Diceros bicornis minor: one gene and its partners. The protein of the gene in region 2 interacts with the protein of the main gene of each other region in a biochemical or structural test. Links are inferred from orthologs where the notes say so. Each region holds a gene or a part of one and is shown on either strand. Other genes may lie near its edges.

Region 1 (3,748 bases), on a different chromosome or scaffold from region 2:
TTTAGGAAAACCTTATATGCTACAAGATAATTGGTTTAAAAAGACCTATTTGTGTATAAGTTGCTAGAGAGGTTGAATAAAGATGATGCAGAACATGGTTTATTTTGCAGAGTAGAGCTGTGTCAATAAAACTAAGGAATACGGTATAACTAACCTAGAGAATAACTAACCATCAACATCTTAATTTTTAAAACTAAAAATTGAGAAAATTAATGTGTCCCTTATTATGAAGAGACGTGAAACTTGCCTGTGCCCTAAGTGGAATTAAATGCTGCTCACCAACTGTACATTCCATTTTCCAAATACCTTCCCAGGAATGCCAGTGCACTGCTATGTTTAATATGAATATTCTCAAAGTGCTGGATTTAAAGGAATAATAATTGTTCCAACTTTTCGTACAAAAAAAAAAAAAGTCCCGTCTAAGATTTATGCCCATCTTCAAAACACCCTTTTGAGTTCAGAGCAGATGTGTGCAGTGTTTACACTGAGAAAACCACTGGGACATAAACAATCCACTATAAACACCACTCAAATTTTGCTGTGCTTTTCTTCATTTCCTGTGTATTTATTTTGGTGTTAAAGTAATGTTAACTTTCATAATAAGGAAAATAGCAGCAGATGTTTAAACCAAACAGACTATGGCAAATCATCCCACATATCTACTCAACTTTCAAAATCAAAGTTTCTTCCTCCCAAATAAGGAAGGAAGCCAGAAGACTAGTCTCATGTGTGTTACATACTACACAACAAAAAATCAACCTGGGCAAGGTTTCCATAAGCTTTTCCTCACCACCACCAACTGGCGACATAAAAAATTAATGTGGTATCAATTTCCTAGCAAGCCCTATATTCCTCTCTTAGGCTGATCGTTTTGTTTTGTTTTTGAAAATATCATATTACTCGATGACAAAGACAAGTCAACAGAAATTGCCTTAAGAGTTTTTAATTTCTTGTTCACTGAAAAAAAAAGGCTAAAAAACTAACTGCAATATGTTAATTTCACAGGCAACAAGCCCAGTCACTTGCTGCTTAGAAGGTTCTGAAAAAGTCTGCCTTTTAAATGAGGGACTTCAGAAGTAAGATGATACTTAAAGCAGCAGATTCAAAGAAAGCAATTCACCAAAATTCTCATTAGAGGAAGAACTAAGAGTAAAGAAAAAACAAAAAACCTTTTTTTTTAAACCTTAAGTATGAGATCGTATCCACAGAGTTAAAAAAATAAATTAAAAAAAAAAAAAACACGTGAATGAGATATTTTTTATCCTTGAAGGGTAAGTTTTCAACTGATTAGGCAACAGGCCTGAAATTTTTACATGAAAATTACAAGTGGGTCAGCTCACCCTCCCAAGTTTCTTCAATGTTTTCTTGTTCAGTTCACTGTAGGAGAAAACATGGAAACTGCTCCTGCTGAATCAGAAAGGAGATGTCGCCTCGATTTGTATGTGGTTACAACAAAAAACACTCCTCCTGCCAAGCTGAATTCCCCTAGAGATGCCTCTCCCGCCACTTAAACCCAGGCCATTACCACTTTTTCAAATCGCACGTAGATAATGTTCCAACAGATTAAGAAATCGCTTTTTCTCTTCTTACTACTAACAGAGACAGCTTGAAATACTACAAGGCAGTGGGGAAACACCTCATGGTTTAGTAGGAGGTAACAAACAATAAGAATTCAGAGCTTTTTTTTTTTTCTTTAATCTAGCTTTCTGGTTGGTGTGTTGTGCTATCACTTCCACAAGGGACCAGAGTGTGGAGGGAACATCCCTCAACGTGAGAACTCTCTCAGAGCTGTACAGGAAATGGGAAATCAGACAAAGAGGCAGTCTGTGCTCCGTGACACAGATGCCCTTCCAGTCCTCCAAACTGAACAGAAAAATTCTTCATTGTTTGGGACAATCACTCCCCAAAGCAAAAATTCATTATAACTTGATGTTCCCCTCTGCAGGAAATCCAAAGCACTGTTGGAATACAACACGAATATGTAGATGGTGTATGTTTAAAACAAGTATCAAAGCAAAAACAAAAAAACGACACACAACTTTTACTTGGGTCCTAGAAGTTCTTCCTCTAATGAGAACACCAACAGAAATTTAAAAAAAAATACATTTTAAAGAGTTAAAAATTTGAAGAGTTAGTATGTTGCAAGCCTAAAGCAAACTTTTAAGTTTCTATTTCTCCGCCTCCCCACCCCCCAGCCCTCTCCACCATAACCCTGAAGGCTCCGATCCAAACAACCAACTTTGTATTGAAAACAGTACATAATAACCGCTCGCCTTCCAAAGCACCCTAAAGTCCCAAGAAAGAACAAAATGCACAGAAGGCATTCAGAACCCTAAAGAAAGAGTGGCCTTCATAAAAGCAATAGAATAGCAATTTCTAGAACGGAACCTCTACCTTCATAGCACAGAATGCCGATATTGTTGTTCATCTTGTCCAAGTACTGGTAGTTCAACAGGTCCATCTTCATAAATAGCATTTATTGGGCTAGCACAGAAAACCAGCTCTTTGCGTTCGCCCCAGAAGAGTACGTTTCAAAAATCAATTACTGCTGAGAAGCTCCTGGCTCTTTTCTCAAACTTCACAAAGACGGAGGCCCGGCCTCAGATGATCAAAACAAAGTATGTAAAAGTAAAAAAAAGAACACACGCACAAAAATCGAACTCGCACAAAACCCTTCAAGGGTTTATTTGTAGACGGTATACGTTTTGTATCCTCAATTGAGCATTTAAAAATTGTTTCAGAAGTCTTTACAAGTCTTTCTTCAAAATATAAAAGGAGTAAAAAAGAAAAACACGAAGCACATTTCCTAGGACAAAGCCACGCTCGCTTTCCTCACAGCCCGCTGCAAGTTAACTGCGCTGACATGCTGGCTATGCTTGGTATGACTCCTATGTAAACGAGCTTCCTCTTCCCAGCGGGAGGGGCACGGAGCATGCTCACTGCATCCCTGGAGCTCTTCAAATGTCAGGGATATTTTCTGCACAAGATCAGTCTCTAAATGTATTAAGTGTTTGAAAGACAGAGAAAGAGGAGGTGGAGAGTCTGTACAGAGGGGCCATGGCAGAGCTGCTCTCGGCAGGAAGCAGCCCTGCCACTGCAAAACCGTAGGAGGAAAAAGAAAACCCGGGAAGTTTCTTTTTCAGGAGCTAGTAAAAAGTAAGAAATCCATCAAGGAAGCAAACTTCCATGGAATTTAACTCTGGTGTATCATCACGTTTGGGTTTCAGAAACCCAAAGTGTTTTGCTGTGGTACCTATATCACACATTTGTAAGGTTTCTTTTTAAAATTGTTTTATAATGTCCATTTATTCTTTAACTGTATATTTAAAATTTTGATGGTAATCCCCCATATAACTTCTCTCATAATCCTCGTAACAACTCACACGGACAGGGCGGATGGTTATTACAGCAGCGGAAACTGAGGCTCAGAGGGATTACACAACTGGCCCAGGGCCCCCAAAATAATTGGTACAACTACTTTTACAGTGTTTTTCCCCTAATATAACCTAAAAAACAAGCAGGGGAAGAGAAAGAGAAAGACGCAGTGAGAGAGGTTTAAGCAAGTACGACTGGTATGTCCAAAACTGAAAGCCTACTTGAAATGATGGGGGGGATAAAATTACTTTCATTTTGCCCATATGAAAGCTGTTCCATTTGTGTATCAGAGGCTAGGAGCATGCTGCCATGTTGCTCCTCATGGGAAGGATGTGAGGCTTAAACTTTGCATCTCCGACATCTAGCACAAGTA
Region 2 (3,748 bases):
GAAGAAACATAGGAGACCCTGAACCTGCTCACCTGTCTTCTCAGGAAGCTTGGAAAGGACTGCCAGCACCAAGAGCTGGAAGCCACTTGCAAGTGAAGCATGTCAGCAATGTTCATATCATCCAGCACTTTTTTGAATCAAAGGCTGGTTGAAATGGTTGGCTCATAGTCCTAGACATGCTTTTGGCACTATTAGCATCTCTTGACCAATACTGGCTTGCCTACAAAACGTGTTTAATGGATTTGTGGACATCAAAACATCACAATGCTGCAGACTGGAGAAATGTGTAGTTCTCAATCCCAGATAAGCACCCAAGAGGTCCCCAAATTCTCCATCACCATCTCCCTCTGACCCCCAGAAGTCCCTAAACTGTCCATCATCATGGCCCTCTGACCCCGAAAAGTCCCCAAATTCTTCATCGCCATCTCCCTCTGACCCTCAAAAGTCCCCAAATTCTTCATCACCATCTCCCTCTGACCCCCAGAGGTCCCCAAATTCTCCAAGGGTTTGGGAACAGAAGCCCTTCATGAGTCTGAAACCACAAACAAGTTAAGGCTGTCCATTTGCCATTCAGTCACTGTACCAGGATGCACTGGGCGTCTCCTGGATGGTTCCGGGAGTCAAGATGCAGCAGCGAGCAAGGTAGGCACATAGGAACAGTCTCTGACCCCTGAAGCTCCAGTGGAGACCTCGAGGTAATTAAAGCAGAAATTAAACCGATAAAGTAGGAACACACAGACAGTGGAGACTGCAAGAAGGACACAGAGAGAGGGATGTGAGAGAGAGGCTGGGTGTAGAGAGGGTGGCTGGCCATGTGAAGAGTCAGGGGGCAGCACTGCAGAGGCCGCAAGCTGGAGAGGGAGATGGGCCAGGGTGGCTGGGGGGCAATGGTCAGGTGGTCTGAGACAGCAAAGGCCAGATCAGCTGGGGGGTGTGAAGGGAAGGAAGCCTCCTGGATTTCATGCCAAGCAAACACAAGGAGAAGCTATTGAAGGGTTCCACGCAGAGGAATGACACTCTCTGATTTACCTATTTAAGAAAACAATCACTCTGGTTGCCAAACAGAGAATGTGAGAGGACTGTAACCATAAGAGACAGATGCTGGTAACTTGAACTAGGGTGGGGCTGTGAGAAACAAGGGGATGACCCGCACACATGTTGCTAACAGACTTAATTCAAGGGATGAGGGAATGGGATGGAGGATAACTCCTAGGTTTTTGATCTGAGCAAGAGTTGACTATGAAGCCACTTCCTCAAATGTGGAAGCCTGGGGAAGGGAAAGGTTTGGCAGACCCCAAAACCTCCTTTAGGGACAAATTAGGTCTGAGGTTCGTTATGTTTTTAACTTAATTTTTATTCTTCCAGGACACAAGCAAAGATAGTTAAGTCAAATCACAAAAGGCATTGAATGTTAACGTTTTCCAAAATTGTGCATATTCTAGTCGTCCCTTTAATGTCCGCGGAACTTTGAAGCAGAGCGAGTGAATGGCAAACTCTGCAAGTCGCGTATTTGGGAAGAGGATCGCTAAGAACATAACTCCATGATCCTGTTTTTCCACCTCTCCGACCCCTGCAGGGGGATGTGTTTGTGGCAGAAAAACTTCCTGGCTCCAAAGCGCGAAGAGGCAGGTTGAGCTGGCTGCAGAGGTCCCCAAATGCTCTGTCACCAGCGCCCTCTGATCCCAAGGTCCCCAAATTCTCCATCACCATCGCCCTCCGACCCCCAGCCTTCTCAGGTTCCCCTCCTTCCCCCCGCCCCGACCGCACTCATCTCCCGCGCCGCCGACAGGGAAGGTCGCCCGCAGAGACCGCTGTAGAGATGGCGGTCCTTATCGGACCCGGCCAGAGACGCGACCCTTGGGCAAGAAGCACACCCCAGACTTTGAGGAGGGTGAAGGCGCGCTCGGCCATCCCGCATCACCAGGCCGCCCCCGGGCAGAGAGAGACTCTTGGACAGTCCCTTCTCAGCACACACGCACTCACACTCACACACGCACACTCACTCACTCAAACACGCGCGTCCACACAGCCCGCTCCAAATCGAAGGAAGGAGTTTTCTCCAAACGCGGAGGAAACATTTAGACGCCCTGGTGTATTTTCCTACTTCTGTTTCTTGCCTCTGCTCCCCCCGCCCCGGCACCATCCTGCGCGCGGTTTCGGGGTTCCCCCCCCGGGCCCCGCACACCCCCCATCCCGCGGACTTGCCGGAGCACGCAGCCGCCCGGAGCGCGGGCCTGGGCTTCGGGGCCCAGGGCTCCACGCGGACCCGCTGCAGGAGGCGGCCAGGCCCCCGGACGGGGCGCGGGCCGGGGCAGCTTACCTGCGGCGGCGGCGGGGCAGGGCCAGCGGGCGCCCCGGGATGCGGGGCTGGCCGCGCGGGCCTGGCCAGGAGGACACCAGCGGGCCGGGGCCTGGCGGTCCCACTGCCCTCCGCGCCCCGCGCCTCGGGCAGCGCGCGCCGGGGCCGGGCCGGGCCCAGACGCACTTCCTCAATCCTGCGGCCGGCGGGCGGGGAGGGCGGGCAGCGGGCGGCGCGAAGAGCGCGCAGGGAGAGAGTTGGCCGCTGCTGGTCCTCCCCGGAACCGGCGCGAGGAGTCCCCGTGGCGGCCCGCCTCAGTTTCCCTAGCCGTAAACCGTAGGTGATCAAATTCACTGCTCCTGCCCAGGAGACGACAGGGCCCTCGGGCCCCTCTAGCGCGAAGTTTCCTCCAGGTTTGGGTACTCTGCTCTCTCCATGCGGCGTAGGCGCAGCGATTAAGATTGGTGGGTTCCCGGCTCAACTCAGCTTTCAGTGTCCCTCTGTTCTGTTCAGCTGCAAAATCCGCGGATTAACCTCTGACTTGTACATTGGCCGTGTACTCTGGCAGTAAACACTAAAAGGACAGGGAATATTCATTTGTGTACAACTCTACAGGGCCGTATAGAAATGGGTATTTTTAAAGCTTTAGTATTTTGGAAACTTCACCCCCTCCACTACATGAATTTAGTAATCTAATTATGGACATATGCAAACATGTCGTTATTTGATGAATCATTTTAAATTGGGTTTTTTTGGGGGAGGGATAGATAAAATATGGTGGAATGTTCGCAATTTATTGTTTCAACCTAATATAAGGACGTTCATCACACCGTTGAGGCCATTACCCAAACGCAGACCATAAAGATGCACGTCCGTGCTGCAGGCAGGCCTCAGGTTCGGCTCCAAGTGCCCACCGGGGAAAGAGAAGCCTGCTCAGAAAAGGCAGATGGTTCTGCACCCTGGCAGGACCTGCACCCTAGGTTCCTCTCATGTAATGTCACGACTGGAACACTCCCAGGATTTAGCACGAGGCAGAGACAAATCGCCACCACCCTCACCGCCATTTCACGAAAACAGGGCAGCCGCAGGGCCCCCACACCACCTCGCGGACACTCCGGGCGCAGAGGCCACTTGGAGTGGCTCTTTGGGCCCCTGGTTGGCGAGGGGACCACCGGGCAGCTTTGCTCTGCTCCCAAGAGGCTGCCCTTCCAGCTCCTGCCACGAGACGCCCTTCCAAAAGGGTGGGCGCAGTTTTGCTATCCTGTTCTCACCACTGCGGTCCTAATTCCAGTATGCAAAAGGCAGCAGTATGATTGCTATCGAAAAGTCCCTAATAATTTGCAGGGCGTGGTGTCTGCAGCGCTGAGTGAGCCTGACGACCGCTGGGCTGCGCCTCTAGGGCGCGCGGCCCCCCATCTAGCGGCACCGTGAGGAAGCGCACGCCCAGTG
Region 3 (3,748 bases), on a different chromosome or scaffold from region 2:
AAGCCAGGGCCCTTTCCTCATTATACATTAAGAAACCAGTTTCTAATATAAAGTAATACTCAAGGATTTTCCATTGTATTTAGTCTGGAGTGAGGTGTAATCCATATAAGTGAAAGTGAATTAGTCACCCACATGTTCTGTATCAAAGCACAGGTTGCAAGCAATGAAGCACAAAGAGCTAATGAACTGAATGTTTTCTCCTTATGTTTTGGTGCCATGCTGACAAATCTCAAGTAGTTAATTTGGTAAAGAGAACTCTTTTTCTTGAGTTGATCATAACCAGCCACCATCCAAGTAATCACAGCATAGAAGTCAGCCACCCAATACTTGGTGGTCTGGAGGACACAAAAAATAATCAAGTATTCCAGCCCACATGCTTCACAGTTTCATAAAAATTCAAGACACTTCTACCTTCTTCTGAACAGATACACTGCCTCTTATTAGGACTTCCTGGTGTAGTTCTCCCTCTGCTTTTAGTACTAGCTGAGTGACCTCTGGAAACACATTTGAACTCACTGGGTTTCTTTCTCAGTAAAATAAAGAGGCTGAACTAAAAGATCTTTAAGGACCTTTCAACTTTAAAATTCTGACTGTTCGATTTTCAAATCAACTTTTCCAGCGTCAGACTTCTGGTTTAGTAGTCTTATTTTCTACTTGTTAAGAACAATACTAGTAACTCAACCTGTCTTTCCCTCCTTAGGGTTAATGAAACCACAGCCTCACCCATCCACCGGATGGGTACCGGAAGATCTCAACTTGCTGGGGAGTTTCACACTGAAAACAAAGTACTGGAAATCTGGGTCTGGTACTGCACTCACAGTGGATACGTTCAAACCATCTTCTGAATGCAAAACCAAGGATGCCAGCAAATTCTGACTGTTCCTGTCTCTATAGAAAGGATCCCTCCAAAGAATAGTTTTTTACCACACTAAAGATCTACATCCATGCAGATGAGAGTACCAGGGCAGGTTTGAAATGAGCATTAGTTTCACCCAATAATGGGCTGACCAGACACACAAAAAAGAAGGTATAATCACGCCCCGCCCAGCTAATTACAGCCTCTTGTACTAATTTTCAGAAATAAATATACAATTAATTTCTTATAAATGTAAGTTGCTGAATATATGATGTCTCACTGTTGGACATCAGTGTTAACAGTATTTTTAAGAAAAAAGCACATAAAAATGAAGGTGGATAATACGTATCTTTCTTCTAAAATAACGACAAACAGCATTTTTAATTTTGTGAATTTTTAAATCTTCAAAATAACTTACCAGCTCTTTACAGCTTTTATTTTTATTTCGCCCAGGCAGCATAACATTACTCTTTCTTTAAGTATATTTCTTCCTGCCAAGCTTTTTATTTTGAAAAAGCTGAAATTTATGGTAAATTACAAGAGTAGTACAATTAGTTATAATTTTTTAAATTAACACTCATTCCAAATTTATATTCTCAAATTTTCATCCTCCTAAGGATTAAAAAATACATATCCTTGCATATACGTAAATGAGGCATACTTCCGCTGTATTCACAAAGGTATTACTACTCAGTTACTGGTGTATTAGAAACAAATCCTAGGTATTCTCATACCATAACAAGGAAGGGAATGCATGCCATTAAAAAAAAAAACTCATTCTCTTTCTCGCCAGTGTGAGGCAATGTCGTAAGGCAATGGCCAACTATGAGACAGTCTCACGTATTTAGTTTAGAAACTGCCTGGGAAACAGCATCTTGTTTTTAACAAATCATACTAGAATATATTCTTATTGAAAACAGTTTCGAACAATAATACAATTTTAATTTCAAACACAGAAAAGGGGGAAAAAAAAGGCAATGTATTTACATCACTCTCCTGAGTCACTCTGCTCCTCAGACTGGAGAGCCAAGTCAAGATACCCCTCAACCAAGTGGAGGAAGTTTAGGACGTGAAATTCCTAAGGGCCCACCACCCGGGCTTGCGAATGGGCCCCTGGCGGCCGCCGAAGCGCGATCAGCAGAGTGAACCCGGGATCTCAGGCCGGCGAGCCGGGCGGCGGCGGAGGCCGCGGCGGGGCCTGGCCCGGGCCTTCGGCGCTGCCCGAGGCCGCCCGCCCCTCCCGGCCCCTCGAATCGAGCTGGTGGACCGGACCTGGCGCCACCGCGCGGGTCGCACTTCCCGGGCCGACCCCCGGAAACCAAATGCGGCCCAGGGAGGACAGTGCCCTCCGGGGCCTCCCCCTCGCCCCGACGCCGGCCAAGGGCGGGCCCGGAAAGGGGGCTGGTAAGGGCGCAGCGGGCCGACTCCCCGGGAGCTGGTGTCCGCGCGTCCCAGGCGGCCCTCACTGCCCTCCGGGGCCCGGGCGCGGGCGCCTCGCGTCCCCGCAGCCCGGCCCGGTCCCTCGCCCTCGCCGTCGAGGGGGCCGCCGGCGGGGCGCGGCGCGGGCCTGGCTCACCTTGGGGCCCTCGGGGGGCACGCGCGGGTCGTTCCACGTCGTGGTGCGGCTGTTGTGGTCCACGAAGAAGGGCCAGCCGGTCTGCGGGTCGATCTTGATCTCCCAGCCGGGGGGCAGGGGGTCGCGGTCGCCAGCGCCGTTGCCGGACGCCATCTGCACCATGGGTGAGTGGGTGGCAGCGCTCATGCTGGGTCGGGGTCGGCCCGGAGGGGCGGCCGCCGCGGCGCCGGGTCGCGGGGTGCGGGGTGCTGGGTCGCGGGGTGCCGGGTCTCCAGGCGCCGAGTGGCTCCCTGGCTGCGGCCGGAGCGAGAGCCGTGCGCGCCGCCGACGTGTCCGGGAAGCCGGCGCCGGGCACCTTTATGAATTAAAGGAGGGGGTGACGTGGCCCGAGAGGGGTGGAAGTGTCTGGAAATAGCCTCCTCGCTGCCAAAGGGGAAGGAGGAGATAAAGGGAGGTAGCAACTGGCCGGCTAGAAACTTCTGGTCCCATCCAGAGAAGTTGGCGGCGGCGCGGACTGGATGCGGAGCTCCGCCCTGAGTCATTGGCTATAATCGGCGCGGGGCGGGGCGGGGGCGGGGCCTCAGCTCTGCCGCCCCTCCCCCACGCTTTCCCCTCCTCCCCCGCCCAGCTGCGGGGGTGGCTGTCCCCGGGCGGGGGTGGCCCCGGGCTGGGTGGCCCCTGCGGCAGGCCGGCGGGACGAGCGAGCCCCGGGCCGTCGTCTGTGTGTCCTGGGCCGGTTTCGGTTTTCAGATTCGCTCCCTCTTCTTGGAGCCGCGTGGCTGTTCCCGGACCCCGGAGTCCGCGCGCGGGGTCTCTGCTGCTGCTGCTGCTGCTTATGAAAACAAAGTCATCCATCGTTCGCCTTTAAAGTCGTTGGTTTTAAACTAGAGTCTGGCCCACCCACCCCCTTTGCTCCTTCGTATACTGATACTCGGGGACACAGGCGTCCCTCAGTTACGTTTTAATCACTTTTTTTTCACGGGCTCAAGGGCCGTCCAGAAGGAGGTCTGGAATGTTGATCTGACACCATAACCAAGCCAGGGAGAAAATGGAAGTGCCAATGGAAACTCACCTGCTGCCTTTTGAAACCTAAGGGAGAAAGATTGCATCAGCTCAGGCTTTATGCTCCTGAACCTCATATCTCAAATATAGAAACTGTTATGGCAGTGGATGACTTTAAAGAAAAATCACATCCTGTGGGGTTTTGATCTTGTTTATGGTAGAGGTTGGTTCTTGCTATCTGAAATCTTGACTTTCATTTGGGAAGTGGGGACCAAATTGAATCATGAAATTTTTTTGTTTGGTGGATTCAATGG

Evidence for each region. The genes of interacting proteins can lie anywhere in the genome.
Region 1: the proteins of LRRK1 (region 2) and VGLL4 form a complex in vitro, tested with the Homo sapiens proteins (2 studies listed by BioGRID and IntAct, with this or other methods). The link is inferred for Diceros bicornis minor from reciprocal best matches to the Homo sapiens genes LRRK1 and VGLL4.
Region 3: the proteins of LRRK1 (region 2) and BAG3 form a complex in vitro, tested with the Homo sapiens proteins (2 studies listed by BioGRID and IntAct, with this or other methods). The link is inferred for Diceros bicornis minor from reciprocal best matches to the Homo sapiens genes LRRK1 and BAG3.

Annotation. Positions count from the first base shown.
Region 1 is NC_080741.1:84,305,426-84,309,173, forward strand, and holds the start of VGLL4 (transcription cofactor vestigial-like protein 4), read right to left. Parts: upstream 2,928-3,748; 5' UTR 2,477-2,927; coding exon 2,395-2,476; intron 1-2,394. UniProt on the Homo sapiens protein: May act as a specific coactivator for the mammalian TEFs.
Region 2 is NC_080744.1:80,700,540-80,704,287, forward strand, and holds the start of LRRK1 (leucine-rich repeat serine/threonine-protein kinase 1), read right to left. Parts: upstream 2,384-3,748; 5' UTR 2,321-2,383; intron 1-2,320.
Region 3 is NC_080745.1:82,423,156-82,426,903, reverse strand, and holds the start of BAG3 (BAG family molecular chaperone regulator 3), read right to left. Parts: upstream 2,925-3,748; 5' UTR 2,619-2,924; coding exon 2,433-2,618; intron 1-2,432. UniProt on the Homo sapiens protein: Co-chaperone and adapter protein that connects different classes of molecular chaperones including heat shock proteins 70 (HSP70s), e.g. HSPA1A/HSP70 or HSPA8/HSC70, and small heat shock proteins (sHSPs), e.g. HSPB8.